Linked DNA regions of Anolis sagrei. The protein of the gene in region 1 interacts with the protein of each later gene in a biochemical or structural test. Links are inferred from orthologs where the notes say so. Each region holds a gene or a part of one and is shown on either strand. Other genes may lie near its edges.

Region 1 (6,978 bases):
AGGGCCAATCTAATTTCATTCGGGAGGGAGTTCCATAGATGAGGGGCCACCACTGAGAAGACCCTGTTACTTGTCCCCACTAGTCGCACATGCATGGGGGGTGGAACCAAGAACAGGGCCTCCCAGAATGATCTTAGCCTCCAAGGTGGATCATAGAGGGAGATACATTTAGACAGGTAAGCTGGGCCGGAACCATATAGGGCTTTATAGGCTAAAGCCAGCACTTTGAATTGTGCTTGGTAGCAAACTGGCAGCCAGTGAAGCTGATGCAACAGGGGAGTTGTACGCCACTATGGTGACCTGTACGCCGCTATGGTGAGCAACCTGGAAGCCACCCATTGGACCATCTGAAGCTTCCAAACAGTCTTCAAAGGCAACCCCATGTAGAGTGCATTGCAGTAGTCTATTCTAGATGTAACAAGAGCATGGACTATCATGGCCAAGTCTGACTTAATGAATCTCCTGATTCACAATATGAAAACTCTTCCATTCCCTTTTGAGAGTCTTGGATAAGAGACACAGATGGAGAAGCTGGTAGTTTCTTGTTGTCCTGCTTGAATGGTAGAGGAGGTGGGAAGAACCTGGTCTCCACTCCTTCCTCTCCTATCAAAGTGTTGACAAAAGGCCACCAAGGCTAAACTGATGGATTGGAAGAACTTTCCATAGAAAAGCTTACTGTGAGCAGAAAGCTGGGTGGGTTTTATCAAAGGGGGAGTGGACTGGCTCTAATGTTTTAGCTGCAATACTGTGGTCTGGCCTGGCACAGAAGGAAGTCCAGCAGGGTGACATTGTGAGTTACCACATTGGGTGACACCAACCTTAGTGGTTCCACTGAAGTTTTGTAGCAGAGGGAGAAAATTATCTTCTCAAACCTATAACTCCCAGAGGTTTTTCCTCCATGACCACTATGAGATTCTGGGATTGTCAAGATCTTTGTATTTACATCTCCTTCTATGTACCAGTGCGGGCTCAGAGATCTGCCGGGGAGGCCCTCCTCTCGGTCTCAAGCAGGGTTGGTGGGGATGAGAGTGAGGGCCTTCTCAGGGGTGGCCCCCTGGCTTTGGAATGCCCTCCCAAAAAAGATTAGATTAGATTAGCTCCTACTCTCCAAGTTTTCCGAACAAATTGGAACACTTAGTTCTTCAAAGAGGCCTTGTTTAGGAATTATTTAATGATTATACCTGAGGACTCAGCTATTGTTTCACCTTAGCACTTTATGGGGCTGATATTAATCACAGTTTATTTTATATATTTTTATATCTGCAGTCATTGTTGCATTTTATTGATTTTTAACTAGTAGGGTTTTATGGCGTACTATTTGTTATAGTTATCGTACTATTTTTATGCACTTGCTGTAGTTGTATGTTTGCACTGTTGAGTGCTTTTGTGAGTTGTCTCGAGCCCCTTCGGGGAAATGGTGGTGGGATATAAATAAAGGTTTGTTTGGGTTTTTTTTACAATTATTATTATATTATTACTATGTCTAGTTAGGTTGTGAAACAGCATGAAAACTGTGTACATCAGTGCAACTCAAAAGTGGTGATCTATGAATTGGTAACTTTCCACAGTAACTTTCCACGAAAGAAGAATCTGTTGTAGTCAAATGTGATATCAGTCTTTGGACTATTAGGGGGGAAATAGCTGGTCAGAAAGTTTGAAGAAAACTGCTACAACATCCATTTCTTTTTGGACAATTAAACAGACTTTTGTAGCTAGATCAGTGGTTCTCGACCTGTGGGTCCCCAGATGTTTTGGCCTTCAACTCCCAGAAATCCTAACAGCTTGTAAACTGGCTGGAATTTCTGGGAGTTGTAGGCCAAAACACTTGGGGACCCACAGGTTGAGAACCACTGAGATAGATTCTGATTCTCTGATATTACAGTGCTCACATATTTTGATGGGGAGAGAGGGACAAATATAGTTTGCAATGAATGGGCTTTCAAAATAAGGGAAGGGTCCTACTGTATGAAATACAGATGCTCAACATGTGTAGTCTGTCTCCCAGCATATTGCTGCAGTCAGGTCCATAGCCAGGATTTTGATTCGCCGGGGGGGGGGGGGGGGGGTCAGGATCTATCATAGCAAACCTTTTGTATCATTATCCCAATACCCCCATGCATATGGGATATACTGAGCATGGTGATCAGATAATGATATGAATAAACATAACAGTTTAAATAATGTACCAGTAAGGCTTTCTCGCGGACCACCATGAGAATTTGGAGCGGGGGGGGGGGGGGGGTGTGGATCTCCCGGACCTGGCTGCCGTGAGCAAAACTTTGATCAATAAATGTCTATTTGTCACTCCACCGGGCTGCTATGAGTTTTCCAGCCTGCATGGCTATGTTCCAGAAGCATTCTCTCCTGACGTTTCACCCACATCTATGGCAGAGGTTGAGGGGTCTGTTGGAAACTAGGCAAGTGGGGGTTATATATTTGTGCCATGTTCAGGGTCGGAGAAAGAACTCTGGTCTGCTGGAGGCAAGTGTGAATGTTGCAATTGGCCACCTTGATTATCATTGAGTGGCCTTGCAGCTTCAAAGCCTGACTGCTTCCTGGCTGAACACTTCCCTCAAACAGGGAAGAGTTCTTTCTCCCACCCTAGACATTCCACAGATATACAAAACTCACTTGCATAGTTTCCAACAGACCTCACAACTTCTGAGGATGCCTACCATAGATGTGGGCGAAACATCAGGAGAGAATGCTTCTGGAACATAGCCATACAGCCCGGAAAACTCACAGCAACCCAGTGATTCCGACCATGAAAGCCTTCGACAACACAATAATGATGATAATTAGTGTTGGACTTTCTGTTACCATATGAATTCTTTTCATGATTCCAGTCATGAAAGCCTTCGACAACATATTGTCACTCCACTCTTCACACTACTGGATCCTTCATTGTGCAGCTTGAGGGATGTGATCTTTTCCACATTTTAATGGTCCTGATTGAACTCACTACACTTACATGTGTGTGAAAGGAAGGATTCTTGTCATCTAAAGCATTTTCTTTGACAGAGAAAATATTCAAAGTGTCATGTGGATCTAGGTTGTTGGCCTCCTTGGTGCATTTGGCTGCCGAATGTACATTGCGGCTGGCGACGGCTGCAAATCTGGACAGAGCCGGTGCCAATTCTAGGGGCATTTCTTGCTATGCACAGATTCCCCTTATAGGCCAAGAACGATTCTTGGCACTGGCACACAGGGATTTCAAAATGCATGGGAAACAAGATAGTAATCCTACCAAAGACTTTCAGATCTCTTTTAAGAGAATCCCGGAGGGCCTCCAGGTTCCACACCTTGCTCTGACAGGTGCCAGCCCTGAGTGCTTAATAGGCACAGCCTCTTCCCAGTTTCTGAGCCTGAGGAGGCCTGGCAAGCCAACTCGACTCGCGTAATTGGAGAGAAGGGTACAAAGCCAGCTTTTGCTAAATCTGAGAATGTGGTGGGTGACTTTCACACGGTTTTCGGAGGCATAGAGATCTTGATTCAGTCCAGAGAGACACAACAAAATGGGGCAACAGAATTGGAAGGGTCAGCAAGATACATCTAGTTCAGGCATGGGCCAACTTGGGCTCTCACTCCAGGTGTTTTGGACTCCAACTCCCAGCATTCCTAACAGCTTAAGCGGCTGAGGGGGGAAAGGAAAGGGCCTGAGGCTGTTAGGAATGCTGGGAGTTGGAGTCCAAAACACCTGGAGTGAGAGCCCAAGTTGGCCCATGCCTGTTCAAGACTGTTGCCGTTTGACAAGACCTTTTAGCCCTCTCTGCCAAAGAACTAGGTGCTGTAGCTTGGTCAGCACCGGCACTTTTTCGTAGAGAGAGCAGCAGACCTTGTAAAACTACAACTCCTAGGGCTCCAGCAGCGTCAATCAAACTGCATTCGTTCTGCAGCGCTGCAGATGCAATTGCCGCAGGCGCTTGGGCGCGAGCCTGGGAAGGAGGAGGAGGAGGGGCGGGGCTCGGGAAGGTAGTATGTGTATCGTGACAAAGCGCAGCGAGGAGGTTCTGTGGAAATTCCTGGGCGGGGCCAAATGCAGCCAGGCCACGCCCCCTTCGCGCGGAGGGGGCGGGGCCTCGCCGCCTATATATATAGCCCTGCGGTGGAATCTGGAGCTCAGAACTGTCGAAAGAGGGGAGAGAAGGAGAAGAGAAGGAGAAAGAAGCTTTACGGGAGGTGAGCGCCTCTATTGCTTGGGAAGGCTTCATATTTTGCTGTCTTTGGGTAGCTTTGCAAGCTCTATCAGAGGACAGTTTGGGGTGTATATTATAGTGGGATCTATATATATAGTTTGGGCTCTATATACATATTGTTGAAGGCTTTCATGGCCTGAATCACTGGCTTTCTAGAAGCATTTTCTCCTGACGTTTCGCCTGCATCTATGGCAGAGGTTGTGAGGTTTTTTGGAAACTAGGAAATACTATGTATGTATGTATATGTATGTATTACTTCTATGTTTATTGATGTACCCTCCTCGGCTCTCCCTAACCCCCCCCCCCCCAAATGCCATTATAAGTAGTATCACTTTTGGGTTGCTGTGTGTTTTCCGGGCTGTATGGCCATATTCCAGAAGCATTCCCTCCTGACGTTTCGCCTGCATCTATGGCAAGCATCCTCAGAGGCTGTGAGTTATCACTTTCGCCTTGACATCCTTTCTATTTCCTCTCTTTGACGGGGCTAATTTCTCTCTCTCTCTGTGTGTGTGTGTGTATAGATAGATAGTGTGTGTACACACACAGAAATATTATCCCCATCAAAGGAAGGAAAAAGAAAGGATGTCAAGGCGAAATATATATTTTCTCTCTGTGTGTATGTATGTATATATATATACACACACATATACATACACAGAGAGAAATATTAACCCCATCAAAGGGAGGAAATACAAAGGATATCATGGAGAAATATATACAATATTGTTTTTATTGTTTCTTATATTACATGTTAACGTTTTTACTTATATTTATGTCTGGGGCATTGATTGCCGACTGTAAGCCGCCTTGAGTCGCCTTCGGGCTGAGAAAGGCAGAATATAAATATGGCAAATAAATAAATATATTCTCCCCTTGGGACGAAGCATCTTGTCCCTTTCCCCCTGTGTGGACTGCTCCTCCAATTCCCTTTTATGTCGGAGGAGAGGACTGGTCCTTGGTCCTTCATTAGGCGATGTTTGGCTTCCCTTTCCACCTGTCCTCCCTTTCCAGGGCGCCTTTTCCCTCCGTATTTTCCCCCTCGACACCTTTGACCAACCTGTCGCCTTGAAACCGAGCCAGATCCCCCCAAAAGGTTGCTTCAATCCAGCGGCCAAACCCGCGTATGGCGGTCATGCCCATCGCAGGAGAAGGAAGCTGACCTCACCTTCTTCTCAGCCTCCCCCCCCCCCCCTTGACCCCAATGGTAGCGGCCGCTTTGTTCGAAGAGACTTGGAATGCGCGCTCAGGAATTGGGCTGTCTCATTTGTTCAGGGTTGGGGGGGGGGGCGAGAGAGACGCGGTAGGTACTCATCTATAGAGCATATAGAGCAGGCATGGGCAAACTTCGGCCCTCCAGGTGTTTTGGACTCCAGAGTCCAAAACACCTGGAGGGCCGAAGTTTGCCCATGCCTGCTCTATGTGGTCTGAAGAGCTGCTGTCGCCGCCGGGGCTGTTCCCCTGCCTGGCCACACGGGGCGCTGTGGAGTCTCCGGGAAGGGGAGCTTGCCAGGGCATGTCCTGCCTTTGGACTCCAGGGAGGGGAGAGTGTTGCCTCTGCTGCCGCCGCCTGTGACTCAGGGTGACGGTCGCTTTCCTGGGGCTGAGATCAGAGTCTGGGCCCAGGGTTGGGCTCAGGGAATGGAAGGGGAGGAGGAGGAGGAGGAGGAGGATGCATAAGCCAGAAGCAGAAGCATCCCCTCGCCTTGGCTTGACGAAGGCAGGAAAAAGCAGGAGGGAGGGAAGTGCTGCTGCTGCTGCTGTGCTGCTGTGCTGCTGGGTGGGACTCGAAAGGCGCACGAGTTCTCTTGACTCCCCGCCAGACCCGCGATGTTCTCTCGCGCTTTGCTTGGGAACTCCGTGTTCCCGACTTGACTTGGGATCTTGTTGTTGCTGCTGCTGCTGCCGCCGCGCGCACACACTCGACCCAAGTATTTTTTTTTCTTTTCTTATTAGGGCAAGAAGCACTGCACAGAACTCGCTGCTCGTTTGGCACTGCTAAGGCTCCCTTGCTACCATTGTCATTTCCTTCTGATGAAATGCACTCGCCCTCCCCCGGCGTATCCGTGGATTCGGTATCCACGACTTGAATATGTATTTAATTATATATCTTCTCTGTATATGGATTGATATATAATTATAATATAACTATAATGTTAATATCGACCTAATATTAATACAATACACAATTATCATATAATATAACTATAATATTAATATTGACATAGTAATAATACAATACACAGTTATAAAATAATATCGACATAATACAGCACACAATTATAATATAACTATAATATTAATTCGACATAATACACCACACCATTATAATATAATATTAATAACGACATAATATTAATACAATACACAATGATAAAATAACTAATATCAACATAATATTAATACAGCACACAATTATAATATAACTATAATATTAATATTGGCATATTAATACAATACACCATTATAACATAATATTAATAACGACCTAATATTAATACAGTACACAATTATAACATAACTAATACTATTAACGATCTAATACATCATTATAATATAATATCTACATAGTAATAATACAGTACACAATTATAATATAACTATAATATTAATGGATTGACCTTGAAGGAGCTGGGGGTGGTGACAGCCAACAGGGAGCTCTGGAGTGGGCTGGTCCATGAGGTCACAAAGAGTCAGAAACGACTGAATGAATGAACAGCAACATAATATTAATATTGACATAATAAATAAACAATTATAGCTATATATAATATTAACATCATAC
Region 2 (7,093 bases), on another chromosome or scaffold:
ATTTTATATATTTTATATATTATTTTCTTATCTGTGCTTCCTTACCTGCCTCCCGGCCCATCCCAAGAGCACCTGCCTGCCTCCCTGGCCTCCACAATGCCTCCGGAGCCATGCAGGCAGCACAGGCCAGGGAGGCAGACCTTCCCCGCCACACTTTCGGGGTCTGTGGAGGCCAGGGAGGCAGGCCTTCCCTGCCATGCCTCAAGCCGCTTTTGGGGTCCCTGGCGTCCACTGGATGTAAATATTTAATATTTAATATTTTTATTAATATTTTCAAAAACCTACGAAACAGCGGGTCTGCTAAAAGTGAACCGCAAAGTAGCGAGGGAACACTGTATACATAATAGGGGTTCAACAGGAACAAACAGTGGGAAATCTTGCGGAAGCACAACAGTGACCCTGGGCAAGTCACATTCTCTTGGCGCCAGAACAATTTGCAATAGGTTTGCCCTAAGAAGTTTGTAAATCAGAAATGACTTAAAGATACACAACAGATGCTGCAATACGGTATTTTATCTTGAGTCAGCCAGAAGGCCCTGAAAAAAAATCCTTAATAGCCTGACTCAGGGGTTTCACATATATTTGAGGGAGCTTTGTTCTGCAAAGCAGTGTACACCTAATGGTAATACTACAAGTAGTATAACCTTAGACATGTTGTCTCAGAAGTTAGTACCATTGTGGCTCCATCTACACTGCCATATAATGATTTATGTAATACAGGTCAGTACAGCGAAACTGCACTATGAGTTTACTGATTAAGGGTACATTTAACTCCAAAAGACACATTCATCAAAAAGGAATTTTCACTCTGCAGCCCTTGGATCCAGATCCTCAAAAGCAAATTCCTTGCATTTTGAAGTGCTTCGATATTTTTTTTAATCGAGATGGTATTCAAACTGATTTACAGACGATTTTCACATTCCATAGATTCTGAATTCATGGATTCAATTACTCACAGTTAATTACTCACAGTTAATTACAGTAATTTTTGTAAGATATAATTTTATTAGGTTTGCTGGGGTGCATTTCTACTGTACAATAACAACAACAACAACAACAACAATAATGGGTTGCTGTGAGTTTTCCAGGCTATATGGCCATGTTCCAGAAGCATTCTCTCCTGACATTTCGCCCACATCTGTGGCAGGTATCCTCAGAGGGTATAAGGTCTGTTTGAAGCTAGGCAAGTGAGGTTTATATATCTGTGGAATGTCTGTTTGAGGCAAATGTGAATGTTGCAATTGGCCAGCTTGATTAGCATTGAATAGTCTTGCAGCTTCAAAGTTCTTTCTCCCACTGGACATTCCTCCAAGGGGAACTGAACCACCTAAATTGAGCTCTACAGGCCAATGGATACTCCACCACAGACATCAGAAGAGCTGCAAAACCAAGAACAAGCCACAAGAGTAAAGACAAAGATCCACCCAGAGGAAAAGTGTTCTTGCTATACATCAAGGGAACCATCGACCGCATAGGGAAGCTGAGGAGGAAACACAACATACAAATAATCTACAGACCCACTAAGAAGATCTAACACATGCTGCGTTAAGCAAAGGACAAGAGGGATCCTCTCACTTATTTATTTATTTATTTGCTATACTTGTATTTGCTATACTTCTCAGCCTAGCCGGCGACTCAACGCGGTTTACAACTTATAACAAACAACAGTATACAGTTTAAAAGCATAAAAACACGATCCACAATACATATATCAATAAACAATCCAATTCATCTCTTGACTAAAATCGCGATCCAGTTTCGTAGTCCAAATTGCCAGTCCTTCAATCATTACACTTATTGCACTGAGTTAACCGAACGCCTGCTCGAACATCCAGGTTTTTAGTCTTTTCCGGAAAACCATCAATGAGGGGGCTGATCTTACCTCCATGGGGAGGGCGTTCCACTTCTGCAGGAGTCTACCGTATACCATGCAGCTGTGGACAAGTCTACATAGGGACCACCAAACGCAGCGCCCAAACACGAATCAAGGAACATGAAAGGCACTGCAGACTACTTCAACCAGAGAAGTCAGCCATAGCAGAGCACCTGATGAACCAACCTGGACACAGCATATTATTTGAGAACACAGAAATGCTGGACCACTCTCACAACTACCATATCAGACTGCACAGAGAAATAATTGAAATCCATGAGCATGTGGACAATTTCAACAGAAAGGGGGGGGAAAGAAAATGAACAAAATCCCACGCCAAAGTTCCCTGTTGGCCGTCACCACCCCCAGCTACTTCAGAGTCAAGCCAAGCACTTCAAGGATACCATCCATCCATTTTGCCCTTGGTCGGCCCTCTTCATTTTCCCCAGCATAATTGTCTTCTCTAAGCTTTCCTTTCTTCTCATGATGTGGCCAAAGTACTTCATCTTGGCCTCTAATATCCTTCCCTCCAATGAGCAGTTGGACTTTGTTTCCTGAAGTATGGACTGACTGGATCTTCTGGCAGTCCAAGGCACTCTCAGAACTTTCCTCCAGCACCACAGTTCAAAAGCATCTATCTTCCTTCGCTCAGCCTTCCCTATGGTCCACATCCATAGGTGACTATGGGGAATACCATTGCTTTAACTATGCAGATCTTCGTTGCCAGTGTGAAGTCTCTACACTATTTTATCAAGATTGGTCCCAAGAAGTAAGCGTCTCCTGATTTCCTGACTGCAGTCTGCGTCTGCAGTAATCTTTGCACCTAGAAATACAAAGTCTGTCACTGCCTCCATGTTTTTTCCCTCTATTTCCCAGTTGTCAATCAGTTCAGTTGCCATAATCTTGTTTTATATATATATATATATATATATATATATATATATATATATATATATAACTGCAACCCAACGTGAAGGCAGTGACAGACGTTGTATTTCTACGTGCAATCAGGAGATGCTTATTTCTTGGGAGGAGAGCAATGTCCAATCTTGATAAAATAGTGAAGAGTAGAGACATCACACTGGCAAAGAAGATTCACACAGTCAAAGCAATGGTATTCCCCATAGTCACCTACGGATGTGAGAGCTGGACCATAGGGAAGACTGAGTGAAGGAAGATTGATGCTTTTGAGCTGTGGTGCCGGATGAAAGTTCTGAGAGTGCCTTGGACTGAGAGAAGATCCAACCAGTCCATACTTCGGGAAATAAAGCCTGACTGCTCATTGGAGGGAAGAATAGTAGAGGCCAAGATGAAGTACTTTGGCCACATCATGAGAAGACAGAAAAGCTTAGAGAAGACAATGACGCTGGGGAAAATGGAAGGAAAAAGGAAGAGGGGCCAACCAAGGGCAAGGTGGATGGATAGTATCCTTGAAGTGACTGGATTGACCTTGAAGGAGCTGGGGGTGGTGACGGCCGACAGGGAGCTCTGGTGTGGACTGGACCATGAGATCACGAAGAGTCGGAAACAACTGAACGAATGAACAACAACATAAGGCTCCTTAGCTCCTCCTCGCTTTTGGCCATCACAGCGGTATCATCTGCATACCTAATGTTAATGTTTCTTCCATCAATTTTCACCCCAGCCTTGCATTCGTCAAGCCCCGCACATCGCATGCAAGTTGAATAGGTTGGGTGAAAGTATACAACCCTGCCGCACGCCTTTCCCAATCTTGAACCAGTCTGTTGTTCCATGGTCTATTCTGACTGTTGCTACTTGTTCCTTATACAGATTCCTCAGGAGAGAGACAAGGTGGCTTGTAATGCCCATCCCACCAAGAACTTGCCACAATTTATTATGATGTATGAGTTGCAAATCTACAACTCCCAAAATCGGATGACATTGAGCCAGTGGAGATGGAATGAAATCCTAGTCATTGTACTGGACGATCCTTTGAGCAGGACATGGGAAACTACAACTCCCAGAACGTGCTTCCTTGCAGGACCCTTTCGGCGATCGATTAGGCATGCCGCGTAGGAGGGAGGCTTTTAGAACGTTGCCCGGGAATCAGCTCTGCTGATTCCCGGGCAACGTTCTAAAAGCCTCCCTCCTACGCGGCATGCCTAATCGATCGCCGAAACGGATTGAGAGCAGAGCCAAGCAGGGTTCGATCTCTCTGCGCTCGGCATTGAACTGCGAGAGCCTGGCAAGAGCCTCCAATGCGCCGCGTGCTGCCCCCATTGCTTTTGCTGCTCGCATCCTTCCCTTCCTAGCACAGCCATGGCGGAGCCTGCAGAGAAGCAGTACCGCGTCGAGTACGCCAAGAGCGGCCGGGCTTCGTGCAAGAAATGCGGCGACAACATCGCCAAGGACTCGCTCCGCCTGGCCATCATGGTGCAGGTCAGCCTTTCTTGTTCCTTCTCGCAGCCGGGAGCAGCGCCACGTTGCCTCGCAGCCTCAGGCCCCATTCGCAGGGCAGCCTGGGGTCAGTGCAGACTCCTATGTATCATGCAGCTCTTGCACATGAGCCTAAATTGGGGCATCACTCATGCACGGAACACGCCCCCTCTTTCTATTTATTATGTCGCCTCTGGGAAGGTTTTGCTGCTCTTCACTGCAGGGAGGGAGTGGGTAGATAAGATATCCATCTGGGAGTCATGATTATCATTGCATTTATCTATGTTTCACTTATCTATCTCTCTGGAAAAAAGAGACTCAAAAGATTCTCACAACACGAAAAAACAATGCAAAATTGGAGCTTGTTTCTGAAGCGTTTTTAAAGAAATAATTATAATACTAGCCGTCCCCTGCTATGCGTTGCTGTGGCCCAGTCTGGTGATCTGGAAAATGAAGTAATGAGAAAGTGTTTGTTTCTAAAATATGTAATTTCTTTATGCTTGTGTGTAAACAGTATTTCTTATTGGGTTTTTTTTTTTGTCAGTGTTGATGTGGAGAGTGTCTGGAACATAAAACCTACTCTGGAACATAAAACATATCATTGTCCTTCTTTAGGGGTCCCTTTCAAATCTATGATACTATATCTCTGTGTGTGTGTGTGTGTGAATCTGTATAAATAAAAATGTAATGTTGGTTTGTGGGCTTAACATAACTCGTAAAACACTGGACAAATTGACACAAAATTTGGACACAAGACACCTATCAGGCCAACGAGTGGCCATCACTCATAAAAACACTGAAAAACACAGCAAAAGAAACTTAAAAAGCAAAAAAAAAAAAAAAAACAACCCCACATTACAATGCATGCACAAAACCACACGTGTGCACACACACACACATACATAAACACACATATATATGCACACAAAACACAGATACACTAGGCCACAGCAAAGCATGGCGGGGGGGGGGGCTAGTCATATATATCTATATCTATGACTAGATGGCTCTTTGTCAGGAGGGCTTTGATTATGTTTTCTTGCCCTGATGAAGAGAGTTGGACTGGATAGCCTTAAGTATTTTCTGTTGGTCATGGGGGTTCTGTGTGGGAAGTTTGGCCCAATTCTGTCGTTCGTAGGGTTCAGAATGCTCTTTGATTGTAGGTGGACTATAAATCCCAGTAACTACACCTCCCAAATGTCAAGATCTATTTCCCCAAACTCCATCTGTGTTCATATTTGGGCATATGGAATATTTGTGCCAAGTTTGGTCCAGATCCATCATTGTTTGAGTCCACAGTGCTCTCTGGATGTAGGTGAACTACAACTCCCAAACTCAAGGTCAATGCCCACCAAACGCTGCTAGTATTCTCTGTTGGTCATGAGAGGCCTGTGTGCCAAGTTTGGCTCAATTCCATCGTTCAGAATGCTCTTTGATTGTAGGTGAACTATAAATCCCAGCAACTACAACTCCCAAATGACAAAATTCAATTTTTTAAAATGATGGTCACTCATTGGGTTAGTAGGTGTTATGTGGCCAAATTTGACGGCAATTCGTCCAGTGGTTTTTGAGTTATGTTAATCCACAAACGAACATTACATTTTTATTTATATAGATAAAAGCCCTGCTGAAAAGATGCATTCTTTGGCTATAGAATGCCATGTTCCAAGCACTGTATAAGTGGTTTGATACATTTTGATAGTTTGGATCAGTACAGAGAATAATATTGTAATATAGTAACACTAATATATTGGCATTGTACATGTTTATGTATCCATACTGTACACTGCTCTGAGTCCCCCCTCAGGGTGAGAAGAGTGGTATACAACTGCAGTAAATCAATAAATAAACAATAACTCCCAGGATTCCATAGCATTGAGCCAGACCAGTTAAAGTGGTATTAAACTGCATTAATTCAATGATGTAGATACAACCATAGTCCTGCTTTGCCATATGGTGTGCGCTCGCCTACCTTTTAAAGAAAATGTTTAAGGCTGAACTATATAGTGTTTTTAGGCATGTTCATAGAATCATAGAGTTGGAAGAGACCTCATGGGCCATCCAGTCCAACTCCCTGCCAAGAAGCAGGAAAATCACATTCAAAACACCCCCGACAGATGGACATTCAGTCTTTGTTTAGAAACCTCCAAAGAAGGAGCCTCCACCACACTCTGGAGCAGAGAGTTCAGAAAGCAAATGTTTCATGATCTCAAACACACATGTGGATAATTTTGGGTCATTTTGGAATTCTTGGTAAAGAATGCTCAAGCTATACTTAAATTATTTGCAGAGTCCGTCTGTAGTAGATTTAAAGAGGAGCATATTGTTTTGAATTCTGTAGGAGATACTTGTTTGAACAGGATTGTCTATAGATCCCTCCAGAATTATGCTGTTTTTCTTTCTCTTGGATGTAGCAGTTATAATGGATTCAAAGCACTTAGCAAATACAAGGACTTGCATTGTCCTTACTTTTTCTGGGCAAGACTTCTTGCTATACTTTTGCATGAAAGTTCTTGCAATCTTGATGCCCAGGGAGCCAGGAGTGCTAAACATTTTCATTGTATTTTGTTATTGGGAGAAAGGTCTCCTTGTAATCTAGTCTTCAGAAACATCAAGACAGTAGTCCATTAAAAAAAACCACACACACAGTCAATGCTCCACATTCACTGAAAATGAAGGAAGGGAGCAATTTTTTAAAAATTACCTAAGGGATTACCTCTCTAGAAATCTCTAGGTCTTCTATCCTGACTCCTTTGGAAGCACTGGGAGACTTACAGGTGCCTTGAGAAGTAGTTTCTCTAGATGGTCCAATCACATATTTAT
Region 3 (7,559 bases), on another chromosome or scaffold:
GAACCATCTAGGACTTTAAGATCGTCTGGGGAGGCCCTGCTCTCAATCCCGCCCTCATCACAAGTATGTTTGGTGGGGACAAGAGACAGGGCCTTCTCTGTGGTGGCCCCTCGGCTATGGAACACCCTCCCTAAGGAGATTAGATCAGCTCCCTCATTCTTAACGTTTCGGAGATAAGTTACGACATGGTTATATGAGCAAGCATTGTCATTCAACAATGGAACTTGGACAACGTTATTTAACTAGGAGACGCCGATGATAATGATGTTGGTTTTGTTGTTTTTATTGCTTCTATTGTGGTTTTATACTGTTTAAATGTTTAATTTGTTGTTATTTGTTGTTATTTGTTATTATTATTATTATATTGAGTATTCGTGCCAAGTTTGGTGCAGATCCATTATTGTTTGAGTCCACAGTGCCCTCTGGATGTAGGTGAACTACAACTCTAAAACTTAAGGTCAATGCCCACGAAACCCTTCCAGCATTTTTTGTTTGCCATGAGAGTTCTGTGTGCCAAGTTTGGTTCAATTCCATCATTGGTGAGGTCCAGAATGCTCTTTGATTGTAGGTGAACTATAAATCCCAGCAACTACAATTCCTAAATGACAAAATCGTAATTTTTGAGTGATGGTCACTCCTTGTGTTGTGAGACGTTTTATTGCCAAATTTGGTGTGATTACCCCACCAGTGGTTGCATTTGGGCATATTCTAGTCCCAATACAATGTATAGCATTGTATTGTTTTGTTTATTGTTTTTCTGTTTTATTGATGTGCTGTTGGGCTTGGCCTCATGTAAGCCGCACCAAGTCCCTTGGGGAGATGGTGGTGGGGTATAAATAATAATAATAATAATAATAATAATAATAATAATAATAATTGAGTATTCGTGCCAAGTTAGGTCCAGATCCATTATTGTTTGAGTTCACAATGCTCTCTGGATGTAGTCGAACTACAATTCCAAAACTCAACGTCAATACCCACCAAACCCTTCCAGCATTTTCTGTTGGCCATGGGAGTTCTGTGTGCCAAGTTTGGTTCAATTCCATCATTGGTGAGGTTCAGAATGCTCTTTGATTGTAGGTGAACTATACATCCCAGCAACTCCAATCCCCAAAAATAACTCCTCTCTCCCAATCGCACCAGAATTCTAATTTGGGCGTAACGAGTATTTGTGCCAAATTTAGTCCAGGGAATGAAAATACATCCTGCATATCAGATATTTACATCACGTTTCATAACAATAGCAAAATGACAGTTTATGGCTCAAACCCAGAACCTCAACCAATGGCTGATACCAAATGAGAGACTCCCCCCTGGGCACACAGAAGACTGGGCGACTTGGAAGGCGCTGAACAGACTGCGCTCTGGCACCACGAGATGCAGAGCCAACCTTCAGAAATGGGGCCAAAAAAAGTGGAATCCTCGACATGCGAGTGTGGAGAAGAGCAAACCACTGACCACCTGCTGCAATGCAACCTGAGCCCTGCCACATGCACAATGAAGGACCTTCTTGCAGCAACACCGGAGGCACTCCAAGTGGCCAGATACTGGTCAAAGGACATTTAACCAACTACCAAACTCACAAGTTTTGTATTTTGTCTGTTTGTTTGCTTTGTTCTGTTACAAATGTAATATAATTGACTGGTTGCTCTGACACGACAAATCAAGTTTATTTATTTATTTATTTGGGGTGCTTCTACCACACCTTTCTCAACCCCCTAGGGGGGACTCAGGGCGGCTTACAAAAGGCACAATTCGATGGCCGACAATTCACAAAATACAATATACAAAATTCCAAGATAATGTCAACAATTATAACTAATTAAAACAATCAAAATAATACAGTCACAGCCAGGCCCATAGCTAGGATTTCGTTTCGGGGGGGGGTGTGATTTTTTTTCAGGGGGTTTTCGGGGGGGCTGAGTAAACTCTGAGGTCGAAGGCCTGGTCCCACATCCAGGTGTTTAACTTCCTTCTGAAGGAGAGGAGTGCATTCCACAGGCGAGGGGCCACCACCGAGAAGGCCCTGTCCCTCATCCCCACCTGTCTCACTTGTGATAAAGGTGGGGCCGAGAGCACCCAGAAGATCTTAAACTCTGAGGTCGAAGGCCTGGTCCCACATCCAGGTGTTTAACTTCCTTCTGAAGGAGAGGAGTGCATTCCACAGGCAAGGGGCCACCACCGAGAAGGCCCTGTCCCTCGTCCCCACCTGTCTCACTTGTGATAAAGGTGGGGCCAAGAGCAGGGCCTCCCCAGAAGATCTTAAACTCTGAGGTCGATGGCCTGGTCCCACATCCAGGTGTTTAACTTCCTTCTGAAGGAGAGGAGTGCATTCCACAGGCGAGGGGCCACCACCGAGAAGGCCCTGTCCCTCGTCCCCACCAGTCTCACTTGTGATAAAGGTGGGGCCGAGAGCAGGGCCTCCCCAGAAGATCTTAAATTCCGAGGTGGGACGTAGCAACTAAAATAGTTTTATGGTTGGGAGTCACCACAACATGAGGAACGGGTCACGGCATTAGGAAGGTTGAGCAACACTGTTATATAGGAAAATAGATGGTGTAATGCTTTAAACATTGGACTATGGATGTGTCTATACCAGTCATAGGCTGTTAGGAATTGTGGGAGTTGAAGTCCAAAACACCTGGAGGGCCCAAGTTGGGCCAGGCTTGGTCTAGAAGCTCCTACTTGATTCCTTCGCTTTCGCTTTCCCTTCAAGTGAGTCAGCGGCCTACAACTGGCTAGGCCTCTCTCTACGAGTCGCGCGGATATGACGTCACCGCACTGTGTGAGGCCGAGACCCTCGAAGTGAGGAGAGATTAACCACCACCGCCTTTGTTTTCCTTTTCGGGGGAGCCCTCTCCCTTCTCCTCTACCTGACTTACCCCGGTGCCGATGGAACTCATGGCGGAAGAGGCCTGAGAGCAAACAGCCGGCCCTCCTGATTCTTCTTTGCCGCCGCCTCACTCACACTGCTCAGTCACTGCTCAGCAACGCGCCCAACCATTGGACAACCGCCTCTGGAGCTTCGACCAATCTCCTCTCGCCGTTAGCAGAAGGGGCGGGGCCAAGAATGCGCCCAGTCACGGCAGCCGCAGTTGGCGCGCGGCAGCAGAGGAAAAGAATGCGCATGCGTAGAAATCCACAATCGATAATCTGCGAATACGCATGCGCGAAGAATTCCACAAGGAAGGTTCTGTGAGGGGTCTTTGTCAGCGCCCGGCTAGCTCAGTCGGTAGAGCATGGGACTCTTAATCCCAGGGTCGTGGGTTCGAGCCCCACGTTGGGCGGGTCAGTTTTTGTTTACATCAAAATCTACAAATAAAACCTATTATTTCTCCTATTATGGTAAACTGAATAGCTGGAATCTTCTTTTAAAAGCTCAATTCACCTCTTTGGGACTTCATCAACAATAACTGTGTCACAGCTGTACAAGAAATTGACTGAAAAAAAAATTCCTTATATTTTTCTTTTATATTTCCATCAGAATCACAATATGCCAAATCTAGTGAGAGCAACAAATGTTGCAACATATATTATATATACTATGAATGTTTCAACTGACCACTTTAATTAGCATTTGATGGTTTGGCAGTGCCTGGGGGAATCTTTTTTTGAGAGGTGATTACATGTGCCTACATAGGGACCACCAAACTGCAGACTACTTCAACCAGAGAAGTCAGCCATAGCAGAGCACCTGATGAACCAGCCTGGACACAGCATATTATTTGAGAACACAGAAATGCTGGACCACACCAACAACCACCATGTCAGACTACACAGAGAAGCCATTGAAATCCACAAGAAGCATGTGGACAATTTCAACAGAAAAGAGGAAACCATGAAAATGAACAAAATCTGGCTACCAATATTTAAAAAACTCTAAAATTACAACAGCACAACAACAGAGAGGAAACAAACAAGGACATCTAATCACCTCTCAAAAAAGTTTGCTCTAGGCACTGTCAGAGAGAGGAGATTCCATCTGAACAGCAGGAAGAGCTTCCTGACTGTGAGAGCCGTTCAGCAGTGGAACTCTCTGCCCCGGAGTGTGGTGGAGGCTCCTTCTTTGGAAGCTTTTAAACAGAGGCTGGATGGCCATCTGTCAGGGGTGATTTGAATGCAATATTCCTGCTTCTTGGCAGAATGGGGTTGGACTGGATGGCCCATGAGGTCTCTTCCAACTCTTTGATGTGCCTGATTGTTTCCCCTCTGTTGTTTTGCTGTTTACAGAGAGTAAACAATCAGGCACATCTAATCACCTCTCAACAAAAGATTCCCCCAGGCACTGCCAAACCATCAAATGCTAATCAAGGTGGTCAGCTGAAACATTCACACCTAGCTCCAGCAGACAAGAGTCCTTTGTCTCACCCTGGTCATCCCACAGATATATAAACCCTTTTTCCTACTTCCAACAGACCTCACTACCTCTGAGGATGCTTGCCATAGATGCAGGCAAAACATCAGGAGAGAATGCCTCTAGACCATAGCCATATAGCCCGAAAAAACCTACAACAACCCTGTAAATTCAATTACTTTTACATTCAGGTGAGAATGTACATATGCAGATGAACAGAAAATTATCTTCAGATCCCTCCAGCTGTACAAGAAATTGACTGAAAAAATATTTCCTTATATTTTTCTTTCTTATTTCCATCAGAATCACAATATTCCAAATCTAGTGAGAACAACAAATGTTGCAACATATATTATATATTATATATATTATAACTGTTGCACTCCAGGTCAGGAAAAAGCCCTCTGACTTTAAAACACACCACACGAAGAGTGAAGAAACAAATATGTTATTCAAGCTTAGTAAATAGCCAGAAGTAATAAATGCTTGTAAGAAAATAAGAATGTTCCAAAAAGTGGTAAGTCCATAAAAGGTAGTAACACAAAGCAATGTCCACACCAGATATAAAAGCAATCCAAGACAGCATTAATCCAGACAGGAATCAACAGGATGCAAAGACAATCCAAAAGGCTAAAAGACTCCAGAGAAACAGGACCCCTTGAACAGGATTTCCATTTATTTATTTATTTATTTTATTTGCTGCATTTGTTGACCGCCGTTCTCAGCCCCTTAGGGCGACTCACGGCGGTGTACAACATATAAAAAACAGTTTACAATAAAGCACGACAAAAAATCAACATATCACTAATACACACTAATATAATTATACTAAGGTAATCCGCTCCGTCTTATCGTAGAATCATAACCAAACTCGTAATCCATATTCCGTTCCAGTTGTCATTACCAGTTGATGTACACTTAATTGAATGCCTTCTCAAATAGCCATGTCTTTAGGCTCTTACGAAAAGACATAAGGGAGGGCGCCTGCCTGATGTCAACAGGGAGGGCGTTCCACAGCCGGGGGGCCACCACCGAGAAGGCCCTCTCTCTCGTCCCCGCCAGACGTGCCTGTGAAGCAGGCGGGATCGAGAGAAGGGCCTCCCCAGACGATCTCAAGGCCCTCGTGGGCTCATAGGCCGAGATGCGGTCTGAAAGGTATTTTGGGCCGGAACCGTTTAGGGCTTTGTAGGATAACACCAGCACCTTAAATTGGGTCCGGTAGCATATCGGCAGCCAGTGGAGCTGGAACAACAAGGGCGTTGTATGCTCCCTGCGTCCCGCTCCTGGCACATGAACTTGATTTCCAAACGATGCCTGATCTAATAGGTTTCCCCTTGAGGCAAACCTTATACCCCAAAACTCAGAAATTGGTTTCGCTTTCTCCCACATTTACCCCTTATCAGGCAAAGTTTTTCAGAGCAACGAAAACACTGAAGTTTGCTGTCGATCCTGGCTAATCACCTGCAGCCTATTCTTCAGCTCCCTTTCTGGCTGCTCATTAAAATTCTCAGGTGTCAGATTGTTTTCCAAACCCAAATCTTGAGAGCTCATAGAGGGAGGGAGGGAATTATCATTGCTAGGCCCATATTCTCATGAGAAACTGCAGTGAAGTGACAGCTTCCCTGGTGGCCAGAAGCTGGAATGTTAAATAGCCTCTGAGTGTCGGCCTATATATGTTGTGTGTCTATGCCATTGTGTTGTGGCTCACTTTGAGCCTGAGCTTTCTGAGCCTGAGTTTCCTCAGGACAAGGAGGAGGATGGGTTACAGATTTCTGTCCCTGTTGTTGAGACAGACAGTGTTGATTCTGAAGAAGAGACGGCATTTCTGTTTCCCAGAGAAGGGTATGTTGTTTTAGATCATGATTTAAGTGAATCTTCACATCTGCCGGTGGAGTCGGCCGCTCCATCTGGGAGCTCAGTGCCTCTTGGTTCCCAGGATAACCAGTCTCAGGATAATGAGTTATCTGGCCTTGAAGGTGATGGAGATTTGATTAGGGAGGACTGTTTGCAATTAAGGATATGTCAAAGTGCTCAGCTTGCCAACAAACGGGAAGTTTGAGGTCAACGTAATGCTTTCATGCTAGGGAAACATATTTAACGATCTGATTGAAGTCAATCCTTTGCCAGTGCAATGTTGCTTAAACCCCGTTAACCTCTCTGGAATTAACTCGGCTTTTGGGGAAAGCTTTTAGCTCTTTGGGACTTAGCTTTTGATCTTGGTTTTTGGGGACCTTGTCATGCTGCCATGGATTCTTGTTTAACCAATGCTAATGGATTATACTTCATGTTATTTGCCTTTGGATATTGGAAACTTTGCCTTTGCATTTAAGACTCTGTTTTGGCTATTCTTCAGCTCCCTTTCTGGCTGCTCATTAAAATTCTCAGGTGTCAGATTGTTTTCCAAACCCAAATCTTGAGAGCTCATAGAGGGAGGGAGGGAATTATCATTGCTAGGCCCATATTCTCATGAGAAACTGCAGTGAAGTGACAGCTTCCCTGGTGGCCAGAAGCTGGAATGTTAAATAGCCTCTGAGTGTCGGCCTATATATGTTGTGTGTCTATGCCATTGTGTTGTGGCAACCTTATTCAGAAACCTTATTCTTATGTTTCTGATTTTGCTTTTTCTTCAATAAACTACGAAACCTACAGCCTTGGAGTGTGGTGTTGTTCTGAGCAAGGTGAATCTATCCTGAGCTGCGACACATTGGATATTTGTCATGTATATGTACATTGTAATCCGCCCTGAGTCCCCTGCGGGGTGAGAAGGGCGGAATATAAATACTGCAAATAAATAAATAAATAAATAAATAAATAAATAAATAAATGTAATGTAATGTTCATTTGTGGGATTAACATAGCTCAAAAACCACTGGACGAATTGACACCAAATTTGGACACAAGACACCTATCAGGCCAACAAGTGACCATCACTCACAAAAACACTGAAAAACACAGCAGAAGGGACTTAAAAAGCCAAAAAAGCAAAAAGATGCTACAACACATGCACAAAATGACTCCCCCAGCAAACAAAACACACAATAGCAACAGCATATCCACACTCTGTTCTGGACTACATCTCCCAGCATCCCCTAGACCAGGCCCTTTAGGAGAGGAGGATGCTTCAAATGCACTGCTTCCAAGCAGCAAGCTTTCTTCTCCTTGGATTTATTTGAGAGCATCCCAATCCCTGCATATTTCCAATGTC
Region 4 (7,112 bases), on another chromosome or scaffold:
TTGTATTGTTTTTAAGTGTTTTTTGCACTACAAATAAGATATGTGCAGTGTGCATAGGAATTCATTCAAGTTTTTTTCAAATTATAATCCGGTCCTCCAATAGTTTGAGGGATTGTGACCTGGCCCTCTGTTTAAAAGGTTTGAGGACCCCTGTTCTAGACCAATGCTTCTTAAACTGTGGGTCCTGATCCCAACTAAATGGGGTGATGAAAAATGTGGCAACAGTAAAAGGTTTCTGAATGCCACCTAGTGGCTGTTTTAGACATTTACACAGATTGGTTGTGCAGAGTTTGCAGTGGACTCTGCGGAAGATGCTTCAACCAAAGTAAGTAAAAAAACAAATAAATAAAAGTATCACAATAAAAACAATTTATTTATTTATTTATTTACTTTGCTTCTATACCGCTGTTCTCAGCCCGAAGGCGACTCACAACGGTTCACAAGACACAGGACACAGCAGAATTCAAACACCAATATAAACAATTAATACCCTAATCTAATACACAATACACGATTACTATGATAACCATTCACTAGCGTCTCGTCACTAAAAACATGATCCAAATGTGTTATCCATTGTTCCATTCCTATGTCATTACCAGTCTTGCACTAATTATTCGAACGCCTGCACAAATAACCAGGTCTTTACTTTTTTGCGGAAGACCATTAGAGATGGTGCTAATCTAATATCTGTGGGAAGGGCGCTCCACAGCCGGGGGGCCACCACCGAGAAGGCTCTGTCTCTCGTCCCCGCCAGCCGTGCTTGTGAAGCTGGCGGGATCGAGAGCAGGGCCTCCCTGGAAGATCTCAAAGTCCTGGTGGGTTCATAGGCCGAGATGCGGTCGGAAAGGTAGCTTGGGCCGGAACCGTTTAGGGCTTTAAAGGTCAACACCAGCACTTTGAATTGAGCCCGGTAGCAAGTCGGCAGCCAGTGGAGTTGGCGCAATAATAATAACAGATAAAAGTATAATAAAATAAAAATATAATAAATATAAAAATAATAGTGTCACAATTAAAATAATTTTTAAAATCGTTGTTGTTGTTTATTCGTTCAGTCACCTCTGACTCTTTGTGACCTCATGGACCAGCCCACGCCAGAGCTCCCTGATGGCTGTGGCCACCCCCAGCTCCTTCAAGGTCAAGCCAGTCACATAAAATAATATAATGTAATAAAAATAATTGCATTGTGTCATGTTTGCTATCTGCAGCTTTGAGTCCGTAAATTGGGAGCAAGGCTGGACAATATCAAAGTATGTAAGTCAATCAATGAAAACAAGCATAATAATAAAAATAAGAAGGATAATAATAAAAAATAAAAAGTATAAAATAAAGATTAAAAATGAAAGTATCCTAAGACTAACTATAAGAATATTTTTAAATTAAAAAATCAAACAGATACTCAGTATAAAACATTATAATAAAACTAAATGCATTTGTATAAAAATAAGAAAAATGAAAAAGTATAAATAAAAAAACAAAATATAAAATATAACAAAACCAAAAGTATTTTATCAATAGAAAAAATGAAATTTAATGTACTGGAATAAAAATGAAAGCAGTATAAAGATAAAAATAAAGATATAATAAAACAAAGGTATTTCAATTATAAAACCAAAAACAACATGAAGATCAAAATGAAAGCATTCTAATATAATAATAATAATAATAATAATAATAGTAATAATACCTTTATTTGTAGACTGCCCTCTCTCCCTGAAGGGATTCAGGGAGGTTTCCACCATATATGGCAAACACTGAATGCCAATAAAAAGACATAAAAACAAATTACATCAAAACAGGATACATCAAACAATATAAGACAGCGTAACTATAAACTTAATACTAAATAAAAATTGACCAAAAATAAAACTTAAATAACTTAAAACTTAAATAAGTATCATCATAAAAATAAGAGTATTATTAAATGAAAGACAAAAACAAAAGATAATAAATAAAATATTATCATAAAAATAAAATTATTCCAATAAAAATAAGAACAATGAAAATAAAAAGATTATAAAGTTAATAAAATAAAAGTACCCTAATATCCCAATATAAAAGTATCCTAATATAGAAGTATCATAAAAGAAAAAAGAAAAGAAAAACTAAACATAATAAACAAAAATTATAATAAGCATAAAAGTATTCCAATAACAATAAGAAGAACAAAGAAAATATTATAAAATCAAAAATAAAGCTTAAAAAGTACCCTAACATATAAGCATCATAATAAAAATAAAAGCATTACAAAATCTCAGACAGAATAAAAACTAAATATAATAAATAATAAAAAATATTACCATAAAAGCAAAAAATGACTTAACACATTATCCATAAATTACCAATAATTGTGCATTGTAATTGCTTATTGGTAATTTATGGATAATGTGTTAAGTCAATTGTTATATGTTGTATGGAATCACTGCTGTTTCTACTGTTTTTACTGTTTGTGAACCGCCGTGAGTCGCCTTCGGGCTTGAGATACAGCGGTATATAAGCAAAGTAAATAAATAAATAAATAAATAAAAGTGTTACAAATAACAACAGGAAGAACAATGAAAACAAAAGTATTCAGAAGTAAAGATAAAAGTATCCTAACAGAAAAGTATTTCGTTGTTGTTGTTTATTCACCCAGTCGCTTCCAACTCTTCGTGACCTCACGGACCGGCCCACGCCAGAGCTCCCTGTCGGCTGTCACCACCCCCAGCTCCTTCAGAGTCAAGCCAGTCCCTTCAAGGATACCATTATTTGTATATTTATTAACTTTATTTGTATACCGCTCTTCTCAGCCCTTAGGCGATTCAGAGCGGTTTACAACAATTTAGGTATTTGTTGTTGTTCATTCGTTCAGTCGCCTCCGACTCTTCGTGACCTCATGGACCAGCCCACGCCAGAGCTCCCTGTCGGCCGTCACCACCCCCAGCTCCTTCAGAGTCAAGTCAGTCACTTCAAGGATGCCATTCATCCATCTTGCCCTTGGTCGGCCCCTCTTCCTTTTGCCTTCCACTTTCCCCAGCATAATTGTCTTCTCTAGGCTTTGCTGTCTCCTCATGATGTGGCACAATACAAAATCATTAAGCATTTAAAAGCAATAGCATCACAAATCATTAAACATCAATATCAATACATCACTACATCAATATAACAAATCCATCAGGTCTCCTCAATGAAATCAGAATCCAAACTCGTTATCCGATATTCCGTGTTCCGATAGTCAGTCAATCAATCACAGTGCTTAGTTGAATGCCTGTTCAAACAGCCAGGTCTTTACTTTCCTCTGGAATGCCAGCAAGGAGGGGGTCGATCTAATATCTGCAGGAAGGGCGTTCCACAGCCGAGGGGCCACCACTGAGAAGGCCCTGTCTCTCGTCCCCGCCAGGCGTGCTTGTGAAGCCGGCGGGGACGTTTTGCTGTTGTAATTTTTGCGTTTTTTTTTTAAATACTCAATCAAAGGATTGTAATTTTTTAAAAAAAAAGATGGGGAAAAAAGAGGAGGAAAAAAAATGAAAGTATGGTAATAAAAAAATTAGCATCCTAATATAAAGGTATTTAGAAAATAATAAAATAAAATAAACCTAAATATAAAATATTCTTAAAAGTGTTTTTTAAAAAGTGAAAATAAGAAAAACGAAAGGATTGTAATAAAAAAAAGTTGGGGAAAAAAGAAAAATAAGAAAAAACAAAGGTATTGTAATAAAAAATAGTATCCTAATATCAAAGTATTGAAAAAAATCATAAAATACAAAACTAAATCTAACATATTCTTAAATGAGGGTGTTTTTTTTAAAAAATGTGAAAATAAGCAAAATGAAAGGATTGTAATTTTAAAAAGATGGGAAAAAGAGAAAAATAAGAAAAATAAGTATTGTAATAAAAAATTAGTATCCTAATATAAAAGTATTTAGAAAATAATAAAATAAAAAAACTAAATATAAAATATTCTTCAAAGCGGTTTGTTTTTGTTTTTTTTTAAGTGAAAATAAGAAAAATGAAAGGATTGTAATTAAAAAACAAAAAAGGATGGGAATAAGAGGAGGAAAGAACAGGCGGGCGTTAGGACCGCGCGGACGCCGTCGGGGGGCGGGTGGAAGAGGGAGACACGCAGACACACTCACCCAGGGCGCGAGTGAGTCAAAGGAGGGAAGCGGGAGGAACTGGGATCCGCCGCAGGAGCCAAGGCGGCAGAGGCAACAAGAAGGAGGAGAAGAGCGGCAGCAGCAGCAGCAGAGACCCGCAGCGCGCGCCGCCTGCCTGCTTCCTTTGCTGCCTCCCTCTCTTGGCTGCTCTGCTCTGCTTTCCATGGGCTGATCCCTCGCGCCGGAGCCGCAACTGCAGCAGCAGCAGAAGGAAAGGACGAAGAGGAGGAGGAGGAGGAGGTTGCAGCCCTTCCTTCCTTCCTTCCCTCCTTCCTTCGTTCCTAGGCCTCAGCTCCTCTTCTCCTCCTCCCTCGGCGGCATGTAAGTGGGCCCGGGCCTCCCTCCCTCCCTCCCTCGGGGTGATTCCTTTGGCTCCCTCCCTTCCTATTTTGGTGTCCCTTTGGTGCATTCATTGTCCAGGAGGAGGGCTGGATGCAAAGCTTCGGGGGAAAGGCCTAGATGCTTGGAGATGGGTGTGTACACACACACACACACACACAGACACAGAGGCATGCTTTTCTATATATATATATGCATGCACCTTTAGACACAAACATGCATGCACATGCATACACACAAGGCATCTCTCTCTCTCTCTCTCTGTGTATATACTCTCACAAAAACAATGCACAAGCATGCATAGATCTGTACACACATGCATGCACGTATACACAATGCATATATATCTCTGTAAATATATATACTCACACAAACACACAATGCACAAGCATGCATAAATCTATACACATGCATACACACAATGCATCTCTATATATATACTCACAAACACCATGCATGCACATACATCTCTCTCTGTATATATATATATATACTCACACAAACACACAATGCACAAGCATGCATAGATCTATACACGTGCATGCACATACATACACACAATGCATTTCTCTGTATGTATATATATATATACACACTCAAACACAATGCACAAGCATGCATAGATCTATACACACATGCATGCACATACATATACACAATGCATATCTCTCTCTCTGTAAATAATATATACTCACACACAATGCACAAACATGCATAAATCTGTACACGTGCATGCACATACATACATACACACAATGCATCTCTATATATATACTCACAAACACCATGCACATGCATGCACATACATCTCTCTGTATATATATATATACTCACACAAACACACAATGCACAAGCATGCATAGATCTATACACAGATGCATGCACATACATATACACAATGCATCTCTCTCTCTCTGTAAATAATATATACTCACACACAATGCACAAGCATGCATAAATCTGTACACATGCATGCACATACATACATACACACAATGCATCTCTATATATATACTCACAAACACCATGCACATGCATGCACATACATCTCTCTGTATATATATATACTCACACAAACACACAATGCACAAGCATGCATAGATCTATACACAGATGCATGCACATACATACAATGCATCTCTCTCTGTATATATATACTCACACAAACACAATGCACAAGCATTCATAGATCTATACACACATGCATGCACATATACACAATGCATCTCTCTCTGATATATATATATATATACTCACACAAACACAATGCACAAGCATGCATAGATCTATACACACATGCAAGCACATACATACAATGCATCTCTCTCTGATATATATATACTCACACAAAAACAGAATGCACAAGCATGCATAGATCTATACACTCGGGCATGCACATAGATACAATGCATCTCTCTATATATATATACTCACAAACACAGTGCACACCCATTGTATGCACATGTCTTTAGGCATAAGCTATATACACATGCATGCATGCGCATAGATACAAACAATAGACACATACACAATGCATATATACTCAGAAAACAAAACACACACAATGCACGCACATTGTATGCATATGCCTTGAAATACAAGCTATATGTGCATGCATGCACATAGATACAAATAATGCGCACATACACTACACATGCATTGTATGCACATGCCTTTGGATACAAACGTGCATAAATCTATACACACAATGCATATATACTCAGAATGCAAACACACAATGCACATGCATTGTATTCACATTACTCACATGCCTTTGGACACAAACATGCATACATCTATACATATAATGCATATATATAGACTCATAATGCACACACATTGTATGCACATGCCTTTAGACACAAACATACATGGATATATACACACATGCATACATGCACATAGATACACACAATGCATATATTATATATACTCACACAAACACAATGCACATGCATTGTATTCACATACATTTAGACACATACATGCATACATCTACAGTATATATATATAATGTATATCTCTCTTACACACAATGCACACACATTTTATGCACACGACTTTAGACACAAACATGCATGGATCTATACACACATGCATGCACATAAACACAATGCATATATCAACATACATATTCTCACACAATGCACACACATTGTATGTACATGCCTTTAGACACAAACATACATAGAACTATACACACATGCATACATCCACATAGATACACACAATGCATATATATATATACTCACACAAACACAATGCACATGCATTGTATTCACATACTTTTAGACACAAACATGCATACATCTACAGTATACATATAATGCATATCTCTCTCACACACAATGCACACACATTTTATGCACACGACTTTAGACACAAACATTCATGGATCTATACACACATGCATGCACATAAACAATGCATATATATATATATTCACACAAACACAATGCACATGCATTGTATGTGCATGTCTTTAGACACAAACATGCATAGATCTATACATACAATGCGCGTGCGCACACACACATATATATCTCACACATGCATTGTATACACATGCATTATTTCTTTATTTATATACCACTTTTCTCCCATGGGCATACAGTAGTTGGAAGCAACAAACATTAC

Evidence for each region.
Region 2: the proteins of CDKN1A (region 1) and PARP1 form a complex in vitro, tested with the Homo sapiens proteins (2 studies listed by BioGRID). The link is inferred for Anolis sagrei from reciprocal best matches to the Homo sapiens genes CDKN1A and PARP1.
Region 3: the proteins of CDKN1A (region 1) and PSMA3 form a complex in vitro, tested with the Homo sapiens proteins (4 studies listed by BioGRID). The link is inferred for Anolis sagrei from reciprocal best matches to the Homo sapiens genes CDKN1A and PSMA3.
Region 4: of the proteins of CDKN1A (region 1) and AKT1, one has a biochemical effect on the other in vitro, tested with the Homo sapiens proteins (2 studies listed by BioGRID, with this or other methods). The link is inferred for Anolis sagrei from reciprocal best matches to the Homo sapiens genes CDKN1A and AKT1.

Annotation. Positions count from the first base shown.
Region 1 is NC_090024.1:187,209,900-187,216,877, reverse strand, and holds the start of CDKN1A (cyclin-dependent kinase inhibitor 1), read left to right. Parts: upstream 1-3,968; 5' UTR 3,969-3,977; coding exon 3,978-4,179; intron 4,180-6,978. UniProt on the Homo sapiens protein: Plays an important role in controlling cell cycle progression and DNA damage-induced G2 arrest. Involved in p53/TP53 mediated inhibition of cellular proliferation in response to DNA damage.
Region 2 is NC_090021.1:39,857,588-39,864,680, reverse strand, and holds the start of PARP1 (poly [ADP-ribose] polymerase 1), read left to right. Parts: upstream 1-4,065; 5' UTR 4,066-4,153; coding exon 4,154-4,273; intron 4,274-7,093. UniProt on the Homo sapiens protein: Poly-ADP-ribosyltransferase that mediates poly-ADP-ribosylation of proteins and plays a key role in DNA repair.
Region 3 is NC_090021.1:334,685,891-334,693,449, forward strand, and holds the start of PSMA3 (proteasome subunit alpha type-3), read right to left. Parts: upstream 3,012-7,559; 5' UTR 2,904-3,011; coding exon 2,883-2,903; intron 1-2,882. UniProt on the Homo sapiens protein: Component of the 20S core proteasome complex involved in the proteolytic degradation of most intracellular proteins. This complex plays numerous essential roles within the cell by associating with different regulatory particles.
Region 4 is NC_090021.1:328,325,102-328,332,213, forward strand, and holds the start of AKT1 (RAC-alpha serine/threonine-protein kinase), read left to right. Parts: upstream 1-4,086; 5' UTR 4,087-4,457; intron 4,458-7,112. UniProt on the Homo sapiens protein: AKT1 is one of 3 closely related serine/threonine-protein kinases (AKT1, AKT2 and AKT3) called the AKT kinase, and which regulate many processes including metabolism, proliferation, cell survival, growth and angiogenesis.